Linked DNA regions of Drosophila melanogaster. The gene in region 2 interacts genetically with the main gene of each other region. Each region holds a gene or a part of one and is shown on either strand. Other genes may lie near its edges.

Region 1 (3,748 bases), on a different chromosome or scaffold from region 2:
GGCCACAATTGCTCCTTGGTCGTCACGCTTCCAGCGCGTGACGATTGGATCTGCGGCATGATTTGGACCCCATCTGCCTAGCGAACCACGTCCGGTTAGTCCGGTACGCCCGATCGGATTTAGGGGCAGTCCATTCTGCACGTTGTAGGCACCGTGAAAGGATTCGCGGTTTACCTGTCCATCCAGCTGATTCCACTGTGGCCAGAATGTGTCGCTGGGCAACGGCGGATCAGCCCACACCTGCCCGCCAATATGTGGCGCCGTGTACGCAGGCGGGCAGTAGTCCGGGAACGGCTCCGACCAGAAGACCTGTTCGTCGGAAACTGGGTACCGGAGGACTGAGCTGCGCGGATACATGTTGTTGCGGCACATTAGGTGCCGGAAAATGCCCGGCTTCACCAGCGATGACATCATTTGGGCGGAGGTTAGCGGGTTTTCCAGGATCAGTGGCAAAAACAGAAGCGGCAGCAGTGCAAACTCGAAACTCGTCATTGGACTGAATTCTCTGAGAGACGAACACTAAGAAATGATTTTGTTAACGCACACCAGCGGGCACAAACTTAGCTAGCAAAATGGATTTGTTGGTACGGGGAAAGCTGTACTATTCGCACAGCCTCTTCTGTGAGCACTGCTTGGGAACGATTTATTTCTAGGACCAGCTGGTCACACTAGGCCGCATATTTTAAATCTCAAAGATTCGGTTTATTACGATGTTTTGTTGTTTTGGGTAAATACAAAAATTTGAAGCCAACTAACTTAGAATGCCTGGTTTCCACCGAATGCCCCTAACCAAAAGAAACGGCAACATCCTCGCCACAGGCTAGTCCTGACGCAGCGTCAGAGTTCGTACTTCAATTCCATCTTTGGTTATGATGTTGATCAGCACAGAGTCGCCGGTGTAGATGTCGCGCTCAGCGGCAGAGATGAAGGTGTCGGAGGCAACGCTCACGGCCCGCTCCTTGGTTAACTTGATCTTGTCGGCGTCTTCCAAATTCATGTTCTTGTGACCAATCTGGTTGTCCAGCACCGGTTGCAGCAGGGTGCCGGCAGTGCCGCCGGCGCGGTATGTAGCCTTCTCGCAGTGACCGATGGGATCGTAGGAGTAGACGACGCCCTTGCCCTCGTTGTCAATTCCAGCCAGAATGTTCGACACGTAGTACGGGAAGAAGCGGCGATTGTACATGGCGATGGAGAGCATCTGGGCCACGGCCTCAGTGGTCATGGTGCGCAGATGGGTATGCTCGTAGCTCTGCATGCGCACCTTAATCGATCCGGTCAACGAGAGCGTGTCCGCCCAGCAGCCTGCGGAACCCAACACTGTCTGGGGCGAGAGTTTAAAGAGTTTACTCTGCGTTCGCGAGTGAATGTTGTAGCCGCTGCTCAGGCGGGTGTCCGCTGCAATTACGGCAAAGTCATCTCCGGCGATGGCCACAATGGAGCTGTAAACAGGGAAGACTCCGGTTAGATGGAGACATTCTTCCACATCTCGATTCCGCTGGGAAATAGCAACTCACCCGCCATTGGACTCGTAGGGCGAGAAATCAGGATGCTTCATGCCGGGCACCTGGTAGTCCGGGAATTGCTCAAAGCCCAATCTGCTCATGTTTTGTGCTGAAATTCACCAATTAACTCGCCAAGTAAAAAACCAACGAAATGATTTGCAAGTTTGCAAGCGGCTAACCAAAATCACAAAATCAATGTGACCGTTGTTGAGCATCGGATCCAGCCTGCTTAAACGTTATCGATAGGTATACATACGTCGGTTTGGGATATTTTTATTAGCAGGAGGTATTTATTTAGTAAACATTTTTAATTTAACATATAAATAAAATAACAATATAAAACCTAAAATTAATTCCAATTTGTACCATAAACTTGCACTCCTTACGCGTTTTTGACCAAATATATACATTCAGATACCATAAACGAAACGGCAAACTAGATTTGATTAAAATGTATATTTTAATGAACATTTCGGTTATTTTCAACAATCTTTGGATAAAATAAGGGCAAATATTTGTTTTAAGCTATAGCGGCCATGTTTTCAATACGTTCTCTTTGCAACTGCCCACGATTCTTCTCCACCAACGCCTTGACGTCATAAAACCATTTACCTGCGGAAATATGTAAAAAGTTCGTAAAAAGGTACAAAACCCGAGAAAGAAACCTTATTTACCGATGCTGGTGTTTTGCAGACAATCCTTGAACGTCTGACACCCCTCCATGCTTGAAAGCACGCCGAAAACCGATAGATCAGCCAGACTTGGCTGTTTTCCGCCCATGAATTTCGTGTTCCTCTTTTTCAGCTCAGTGGTCCACTGGTCAAGGGCATCGTACATGTGCGACCTGACGTCGTCGCTGAGGGCGTGACGGCGCTTCAGCATCTTGGCTATGGCCCACATGGCGGTGGCACCACAGTAAACCATCAGGTCGCGCTCCCATTTGGGGAAGTGAACGTCCCACTCGCCAGCTTGCGAGAACCACTCAAAAGTCTCTAGGGACTCGCCCATGGTCTGATAACAGTTGGGCGATATTAGATGCACCAAGTGGCTGTCGGCCCAGCTTCTCCACTTGCGATCGGTTCTAAGAACAGACACTCAAGGTTAAAAGATTTGATTAAAAGATTACTTGACCCTGGTTAACTTACTCATCCGTTTCCTTGGATACTCCCTTGGGCGTATGCTCGCGGTACATGAGGAAGTATTTATTCAATATGTCGTTCTTCTTTTTGCCATCATCGTCGAAGAAGGAGGTGTGCGGATAGAACTGTGCCAGCTCGCCGATGTCGGTGCGCTTGTCCTGCAGGTGGGTGGCTATAAGGGATATGATGGCACTTGAGTCCACCATCTGGACGTATTTGCCGTCCTGCTGTCGGATGAGCACCATCGGCACCTTCTTCACCGACGACCAGCGGATGTCCTGCCGTAGGACGGCATCCACTTCGACCACCGCATAGGATATGCCCATGTAGTCGAGGAAAGCGCGCACCTTGCAACAGAAGGGACACGTCTGGAACTGGAACAGCACAATGTCCAAACCGGACGTGTCCTTGGGGTTGACATAGCGCTTGGTTATCCGCACTCCAGCCGGAATCCCGTCCAGCCGCGTCGGCTTCGTCTCCTCGTGCTCTTTGTGCGAGCTGCCGTCTGTCCACCGCTGGTACATCGTATACACCGATCCGGTGGCCGCGCCTACGGTGGCCCCCAAAACTGCGAGCTTGAAAGTTCCATTCGGCTTCTTTCTGCCTCCGCCGTTTTCAACCGCTACAGCAAACTGGCGGCGTGCGAATGCAGCATCCGGATTCCGTTTAGTCAACAGGCGCAAGGCTCCACCTCCGCTTGCTGCCGGCGGGGGACGGACCCCTGCCAGAACGGTGGCAGACGCTAGCCGAATACATGACATAATTCGCACGTTTGTTTTGACTTATACTTAATATTATGCAAAAATTAGCGACTTATCAGCCGCGACTATGAGACCAGTGTGAAAAAATACCAAGACTTTTGTAGGGCTCCGGAATATACCATAAAGTTTTGAACATACCTTAAACGGTAACCCTGAAGAATGTGTTGGGGATGGGATATTTATTTCACTAGTGTTAAACTTTATAAAATGTATTTAATAATCCAGGTAATTGAATTTAAATAAAATCAAGCGAAGATTTTGTGCAAGCCTTTAAATACTTGCCGTTAATGAGCTAACAACCTTAAAACTTTGACCTAAAAAAGTTATCGATAGTTTCCACCTGAAC
Region 2 (3,829 bases):
GTGGCGGTCATACTGGTGCTACGCACAAAACCCGACTAATTGGGCGGAGTCATGCAAATACGGCAGCACGACCACTTACACTATTGTGATGGTGCTGTCCACGCTGTTCGCTGACAAGGAAGCGGCCACGTCATCAGAGCTCTGACTGTCTGTGGCCGGCTGTTGATCCTGGTTGCCGTCCAAGCTACCTGATCCTCCTCCTGGCAGACTCGAGTTGGCGACTGTTCCTGTGCCTGTTCCTATGCCCGATCCTGATCCGGCACTCTGCGCCGGACTCGTTGTGGTGGTTGTTGTGCTGGTGGTGCTGCTGCTTGAGCTGGGCGCTGTGCTTCCCGGCTGTCCGGTGGTGTGCCTACGAGTGTCGAACGTCATGGTGGCGGGGTATCCTCTCCAGCCAACTCGTTCTGCGGAGCACCGGAAGCGGATGTTAATGCACGAGCTCTAGTGCCGGGCTAATCCTAATGCGTTCTGCAGTGCGCGTCGTTTTTTGACTGGTGTCTTATGGCAAATGTGAGGTATCCGGGCTTCTGCTTGTCCAGTTTGGGAGTTCCCCGCTGATTTGCTGTTTCTTGAGGCACAGTTGGTCGGTTAGTTGGACTTCTTGCTCTGGGCTCCCTCTTATTGTCCTTTTTCCCAATGCCTGGTCAGCGGCCAGTTTGCAAAAATCTATAAAGTGCAACGAAGCGAAAGAGGCAATAAGAGGCGGATAAATACAGCGCTAAGAGAGAGACCGAAAAGGCCCACATGTGTACGAAGCTCAGTTTTGGGTGTGTGAGTGGTCCTGCGTGTGTGTAAGAGAGCGCTGGGTTGGAATATGAAAAATCAATATTATTTAATAGACGGGGCAGCAAGCGCCAAATAATGCTCCAAAAGCACACAAATTACGCTCTCACCCACTCACACGCACGCACGCTCACCCACAGAACCCTCTCTTTTTGTGTGTGCGTTTGAGTTTAATTTAAAATTGTTTTTGTTTTACGCCTCGCTCTTCATTCTTATTTATTTATTGTTATTTTTTTGGGCAAACAAAGAACATTTTCCTGCCGAAAATTACATCACGTCCAAGTTTACGGATTTTGCACTCACTCTCTATCTCTCTCCGCCCGGCATCATCCTTAAGCGGAATGTCGGTCGGTGGGTGGGAGCCACTGGTGGAAAAAGGGGCGGGGAAAGGGTGTAGGCGAAGGGTGGTGAAAATAACTACGCATAAAGTTATAGAAAGATGCCAAAATTAGCGGTTCATTGGGTGTGTCGAGGGCGGTAAATTGCTCACATTCTTTCTATAGCTTTAAAAGTTGTAAGAGATTAACGGAAGTCACCCAAGGACGGCGGCCAGTGCGGCTTTTTATTATTTTTCACTGTTTTTTCACGCGCACACACACTTCCTCACGCGCACGTACATTTATTTTTCGCAAATGGAATCGAGCGAACTGACGACCGAGTCCCAACTTTTCGCAGGCCTCAAAATGGGCGATTGCTCTTCCTTTCGCCTTTGCTCTGGACAGCGGGGAGCCCTTACTTGGCTGCGCCACTCGAAGCTAGTCGCGGTAACTATTTCGCGAATATTGAGCTTACAAATCAGCCGGCCAATAGACAAAATGGCGTCTGCCGTTGCTGTTGTTCTGCGGTCAACTCCAATTGCCATTGCTTTTTACCTGCCTGCCCGACGGCGAAGAGCTGCGTATCCTGCGAGCGTCGCGGTTGCGGCCACAGGGTTTTTTCTACCCGCTCGTTGTCCAATTCGCGTTAAATAAATTATATTTAAGCTATTTCTTTTGCTAGGGTTGTGCAGTTCGGGCGAACTAGTTATGAATTGAACCGGTTCGCGCGGTGCTTTTTACCAGAGTTATCAGGCCATGCCAAAAGCGCGCCTATCGAACTGGTTTATGTGGTACATATAAGGGACCCTAAATTTAAATTTCTGGCAATTGGGATTTCAAATAAAATCAAATCATTGAAATGCACTGTAAGAATGTACACTCTACTAGTCATGTTTAATTGTAAATAAATATATAAAAACATATAGTATTATTAATTTGATCAAATTAGAAAGCAGTCTTAGGGCCCATTATATAATCTGTAGAAAATAATTTCCTTATTTTTAATACATTTCGCATGTGCTTCTGATGTATTATCATTTTATAAATTAGTATTAATTTAAGTGCACGAACAACCTATTCGTTTATTCAGTGGTCCTACTGATAACGATAAGTCCGATATCGATAGGAGTATTGTTTTTATTTTGTTTAATGTAATATACAATACGAAGTAATTGTTTTGATTTCATGAGAATGTACGACGCGTTGGAACGCTGCCCAGGAGCCTACTGTGGGCGATCACCGCTAGGAAACAACAGCTGGAGCAGCTGCGGGGTCTGTCCCAGAGGATCTCGGGTTAATGTTCTAGCATCCTTCGGAACGGCGCCTGGAAAATAATTTACTTTTATATTGTTCAGGTGAACCAAAGTTACGCATGCTCTCCATGCCGCGACGAGTTAAGCACGTACTCCTGGCTATACCTGGGATTCATGACCATGCTGCCACTTATGATGCACTGCTTTTTCATTGACATGGACGCCAAGGATCGCAAGTGAGTGAACTAATCAAACTGGAAGAAGAACTTACTTAGTGAATTCACATAGGTTTTCGCGGAAGCAGCTGATCTTGACGGCCAGCGCTTTCGTTGAGGTTGCCATATCTGCCATCCTCGCCACCTTGCTAATGGAGCCCATGTGGGAGCTGCGCCTCTACGCCTGTGATGTTCGAAAACTTACTGACTGGTACACATTGTTTTACAACCCCAGCCCCAATTATGAGGCACGAGTCTACTGCACCCAGGAGGCAGTTTACCCATTGTAAGACCCAGCCACCCAAGGCTCCAGGTGTTCACAATAGTCACTTTAATGTTCAATTTCCAGGCAAACCATCGTGCTGGTTTTCTACTTTCTGTGCCTGGTGAACATGTTTCTCATACGCCCGCTAGTCAGCAAAATTATGGATGTGGGGGGCAGAAGCAAGGCGCCGATTTACTCGGCTCTTTACTTCCTGCCCCTGCTCACCTTTATCCATGCGTTAGGATGTGGGTTGATCTGTGAGTACTTAAGTGCTTGCTAATATTTTGGTCTTGAGATCTTTTCTTTTTCAGATTACTCCTTTCCGTACCTTAGCGTGGCCATATCCATGGTAGCCAATGCCATCCACTATTCCCTCAAACTGGATCAAACCCTAAAGGCATTGGTTCACTCGTCGGTGTGGGAGTTAAAAAACGTGGTCATCATAGGTAAGCAAAGTGCGCATTCACCATACATAAAGTATACCAGCAGCTTACTTTCCCAGCTGTGCACTGGATGTTGTTGGCCTACGGCCTCACCTCCCTGAATTACCACTATGCCTTTATGTGCTTGGTGCCCTTCCCCACACTGTTCTATATTTTGACCGTACGTTTCACGGATCCTGCCGAGTTCCGGGAGCTGGAGTCGAGAATTTGATGCGGCGACGTCCAGATGCAAATTTTTCACGCCCGGGGAACTCGTCGATCGACTGTTGTTATCTATGTGTAGTGTACGCGTCAATTAATTTATTTACATTTAGTATGTAGCTCAGACTCAGACCTGTTCCGAGTATAATTGCGGCTCTAAAAGCCGTTGAGAAACAAATTTAGGAGCAGGTCTATTTAGTGTTTTCGTCGCACAAGCTTAATTCATTCTTCGTTCTTTTCGTTTTAATTATATTTCACATTAATTATACACATATAGTAATATTAAATACAAATCATCAGTTTCCCATCTCTAAAATAGTTTTTACACAATACGTATTGCTACATATTGGAT
Region 3 (3,600 bases), on a different chromosome or scaffold from region 2:
CTGTGTAGCGGATTTTGTCAAATAGCAGAGCAGAGTCATCAAAGAAAAATCTTGTAATAAAATTACGTACGTATCCCGCGGAAGCCTTGACGTAGGCGAAGAGCAGATTCCGAAGGTCTGCGGGCCATGTAAAATGCCATTAGCATTGAGGGACGGAAAACACGGACTACAGGCTATATAGTCATAGTTGTATGGGCATGTGCGCCCTGTCAACATGTGTAAATGGAATACGAGGTAATCGGCCAGCGGGGTAGGTAAACCACCCGGAAAGCAAGGATCAAGGATTCTGTGCAACAAGAGGAGGAAGTAGAAGGAGCGAAGAGCCTGTCGAGCAGGATAAATTCTTCTTCTTACCTGGCGGCAAGTATTAGAGCGGAGCAGACAGAATAAGTACACAAAGATATCATGTAGAGTTGATTTCAAAAGTATCTACATACATATGCACATTTAAAGGCTAAATAACATCAAAGGAGAATTGATTTTATAACCTAACCAAATTATAAACTTTTAATTGATATATGCTTTATTTGCGCCTCAAATTCGGACACAAAATACATTAAATGATAATTTTATTTGTTTATGCCGCGCGCTGGAAAAATTCCTGCCGTACAACATATTTACACGTATTTTTTAAGGCAATAACCTTTGAAATTGTGTGGTATTTGCAGTTACACGTTCTCGTTGCGGAAATCGTAGGCTTATGGAAAGTATAACAATTTTAATTGCCTAGAAACAATTTTGTTTTTAGTTAAATAAAAATGTTAAAAATATAATAAAAACTTTATAGCAGAGATTTCTCTTTCCCATCAATACCTAAATCTATCTTTTGTTAATTGTTTACTTTTTTAAGATTCGATAGTTTCTTGTTTACTTTCTTTTATAGCTACAACTCCATGGCTAAAAACGGCTGAATTCGCATCAATGATAACAGGAACTGATCGCTTAAATTGTTGTTGCTTGTCCTTTCTTTTTACTCTCACAACAGTTAGGGCGCCTCAGTTGTTGTTGTTGTTCTTGCTGTCGGTACAGTGTCGCCGAAGAGAGGGAGAGTGAGGGGAAACGATGATGAAGAGAGGGAGGCATTTCGCATTTATGCGATAAATATTTTCTACACCGAAATAAATTCAGAAAAAAAGATTAAAATATCTGCGACACGATGCCGTTGCTTTTTTAGTCACACAAATACACACAAAGATGTACTTATAGTCGTTGTTATTTCATTTTATTTTTTTGCATTTGCTGGCAGCGACATTTTTTATGAGGATCTTTTGGCCCCGAATGTGGTTTTACCCCGTACCCAACCCCTTTGGGCGACATTGAAAAATGATAAATTCGCCGGCCATTTGGAGCTGCCACGCCCCGCGCCCTCTTTCAGTACTCACCGCACTTCGATTGCTCTTCAATGGTCTCCATTTCCATGGATCTTCTGCAGTTACTTTTTTAAGGCGAACAACTCGTGGAACATACACAAAAACACACACCAACAGAACTCGAAACACAATAGAACGAACGCACAAGGAGACAAATAATTCGTTTGTACTCGATTCGTTTACTTTCATTAACTGGACGCTGTTTTCATGCATTTAGCGCGCATCATTTCCATGTTTGTTTGTTTTTCTACTTTTTGTTACAATTTATTTATTATTTAATTAAAAAGCGGCGGCTCACGAAAACACACACACACAGACGCGCATAGGCAGCGTCGCCCGGTTCTTCGTCCTCTTGTTAGCGATACCGCGTACCTGCTTTAGCAATTTAACCAACAAAATGATCAACAATGTAAGCGAATTGCGCTCAACGGCTGCGCGTCGGAATCACAAATCAAAACTCAACGGACAAACGCGTCTGTTTCGAATTTTTTTCGCTGTAGTGTGCCGCGCAGTGTAACCGTCGCGGGGGCGCCAAGAAATACGCGCAAATGTGATGAACGAAATACCAGAATCAATCGGCGCTAAATAATGGTCACACTTGCAAGGGGTTGAAGGTATTCCCTGTAATGCTATATAACTAAATTAAACGACTATGGCTATAAAATAGTTGTAAGCTGCACTATATTAACAATCAATTAGAACTGTTTTCTTCGTTTAAGTTGTTTTTGGCCTGTCGATAAATTAAATTTGGTAATATCCTACTATTGTTGCAGTTGTAGCCTCCAATCATATTTTTCATGCAAGCTATATAAGCTACAGTTAATTTTATGTATGCTTGCTCATATATTTAATAAATGAATGCCTAAAACTACTTGCTTTTGTGCTACTTTGTTTAAATATACGCGCTTGATAACAACGAGTTGACCGATAAATACTGCTGGCGAAGTATCGATACCAGTGACAAGCATTGCCACTACGTCCGCACTTGTTGCTGTATCTTCACGCTCACGCACACTCGCACACAACCATTACGTCAATATGGCAAACAATCTGTCAAACGCGCAATTACAACAAACACAGTTCGTTCGCATTGACAGTTGGTCAATAGGTCCATCCAGGATTCGCTGAAGTGGTGAAGATAGCCAAGGACTGCAGCTGGCGTGGATTGGCAGAGGGTAATCCAGAGATCCGCGCAAAATGCTGCCACAAACGCCGCCGCACGGATTGAAGGTGATGTCGGGAGCGGAGGAGAACCGACACTATCTGCGCGCCTTCATCCAGACATACAGGGATCTGCCCGTGCTGTGGGACACATCGCTGCGGGACTACACCAATCGGGAGAAGCGGGCGGAGGCCTATTTGCGCCTGGTGCCCATATACCATTATCTCAAGCGGGACGCCACCGTGGAGGATGTGAAAAAGAAGATCAACACACTGCGCACGAACTACCGCAAGGAGCTGAAGGTGGTGGAGAGTGCCCTGCGATCGGGCAGCCTCCACAGTCCACGCTGCTGGACCTTTCAGGAGCTGGACTTTCTGCGCAACTCGGAGAAGTTTCTAGCCGTCAATCCCGCCTTTAAGAACGAGCCCAACTTCGCCTTCGGTGAGAGCAGCAATTGCCCGAGTGCGTTTCTGGAGAGCCAGGGAGCAGCCCTCCATTATCCAGCACCACGCGCTGGTGGTCAGACGCCCAACATTTCCGAGATGTTTCACAAATCATTTGGAGCTCCGCCACCGCCACCGCCAGCAACCAACCATGTGGATTATGGGAGCAGCAAGCGAGCCAGGCAAACGCCGCCATGTACGGGAGCAGGAGCCGGATCTACTGGCGGTCCTGGGGCAACAGGCACCGCCCACAACACCGACGAACTACTCAACATAGCCTGCGAGTATTTGGCTGGCACATATCCGGAGGAGGAGTCCATCGCCCGCACCTGGACGCACAAACTGAAGCGACTGCCGCGCGAGCAGCGTCTTCTGGCCGAACGTTTCATCAACGAGATTCTCTTCGAGGCCGAGTCCAACAATCTGCATCGCGGATCTGTGCAAATCAACAACAGCTTCGAACCCTACGTTCGCTACGAAGAAACGCCAAATGGTCACGAGGAGCAGGACAAATCACAGAGCCCCAGTGTGCACACCTCCAGCGAATCCAAGCCCAATGTGTCGGGAGCGAGCGGAAGCGGGGGAGGAGGTGGGCCACCGGGCAGCACCACCACCAGTGCGGGCA

Evidence for each region.
Region 1: of faf (region 2) and Prosbeta6, changing one suppresses a phenotype caused by changing the other (phenotypic suppression), as found in Drosophila melanogaster (one study listed by BioGRID).
Region 3: of faf (region 2) and pbl, changing one enhances a phenotype caused by changing the other (phenotypic enhancement), as found in Drosophila melanogaster (one study listed by BioGRID).

What each region holds. Positions count from the first base shown.
Region 1 is NT_037436.4:16,608,716-16,612,463, forward strand, and holds Prosbeta6 (proteasome beta6 subunit), read right to left. Parts: upstream 1,704-3,748; 5' UTR 1,604-1,703; coding exon 1,515-1,603; intron 1,440-1,514; coding exon 821-1,439; 3' UTR 685-820; downstream 1-684. Other genes in the region: CG4098 (uncharacterized protein), read right to left, coding at 1-492; Su(P) (suppressor of ref(2)P sterility), read right to left, coding at 2,023-2,114, 2,177-2,583, 2,648-3,402. UniProt on the Drosophila melanogaster protein: Non-catalytic component of the proteasome, a multicatalytic proteinase complex which is characterized by its ability to cleave peptides with Arg, Phe, Tyr, Leu, and Glu adjacent to the leaving group at neutral or slightly basic pH.
Region 2 is NT_033777.3:31,775,009-31,778,837, reverse strand, and holds the start of faf (fat facets), read right to left. Parts: upstream 1,819-3,829; 5' UTR 1,656-1,818; intron 1,596-1,655; exon of another isoform or gene 1,274-1,595; intron 1,201-1,273; exon of another isoform or gene 1,087-1,200; intron 667-1,086; 5' UTR 373-666; coding exon 80-372; intron 1-79. Other genes in the region: CG2126 (uncharacterized protein), read left to right, coding at 2,286-2,393, 2,456-2,589, 2,642-2,854, 2,918-3,090, 3,145-3,279, 3,336-3,487. UniProt on the Drosophila melanogaster protein: Ubiquitin C-terminal hydrolase involved in development and the imd/NF-kappa-B (IMD) signaling cascade. Required for eye and embryo development, and plays a role in compound eye assembly and oogenesis respectively.
Region 3 is NT_037436.4:7,910,040-7,913,639, forward strand, and holds the start of pbl (pebble), read right to left. Parts: upstream 1,916-3,600; 5' UTR 1,420-1,915; coding exon 1,383-1,419; intron 1-1,382. Other genes in the region: CG8281 (uncharacterized protein), read left to right, coding at 2,568-3,600.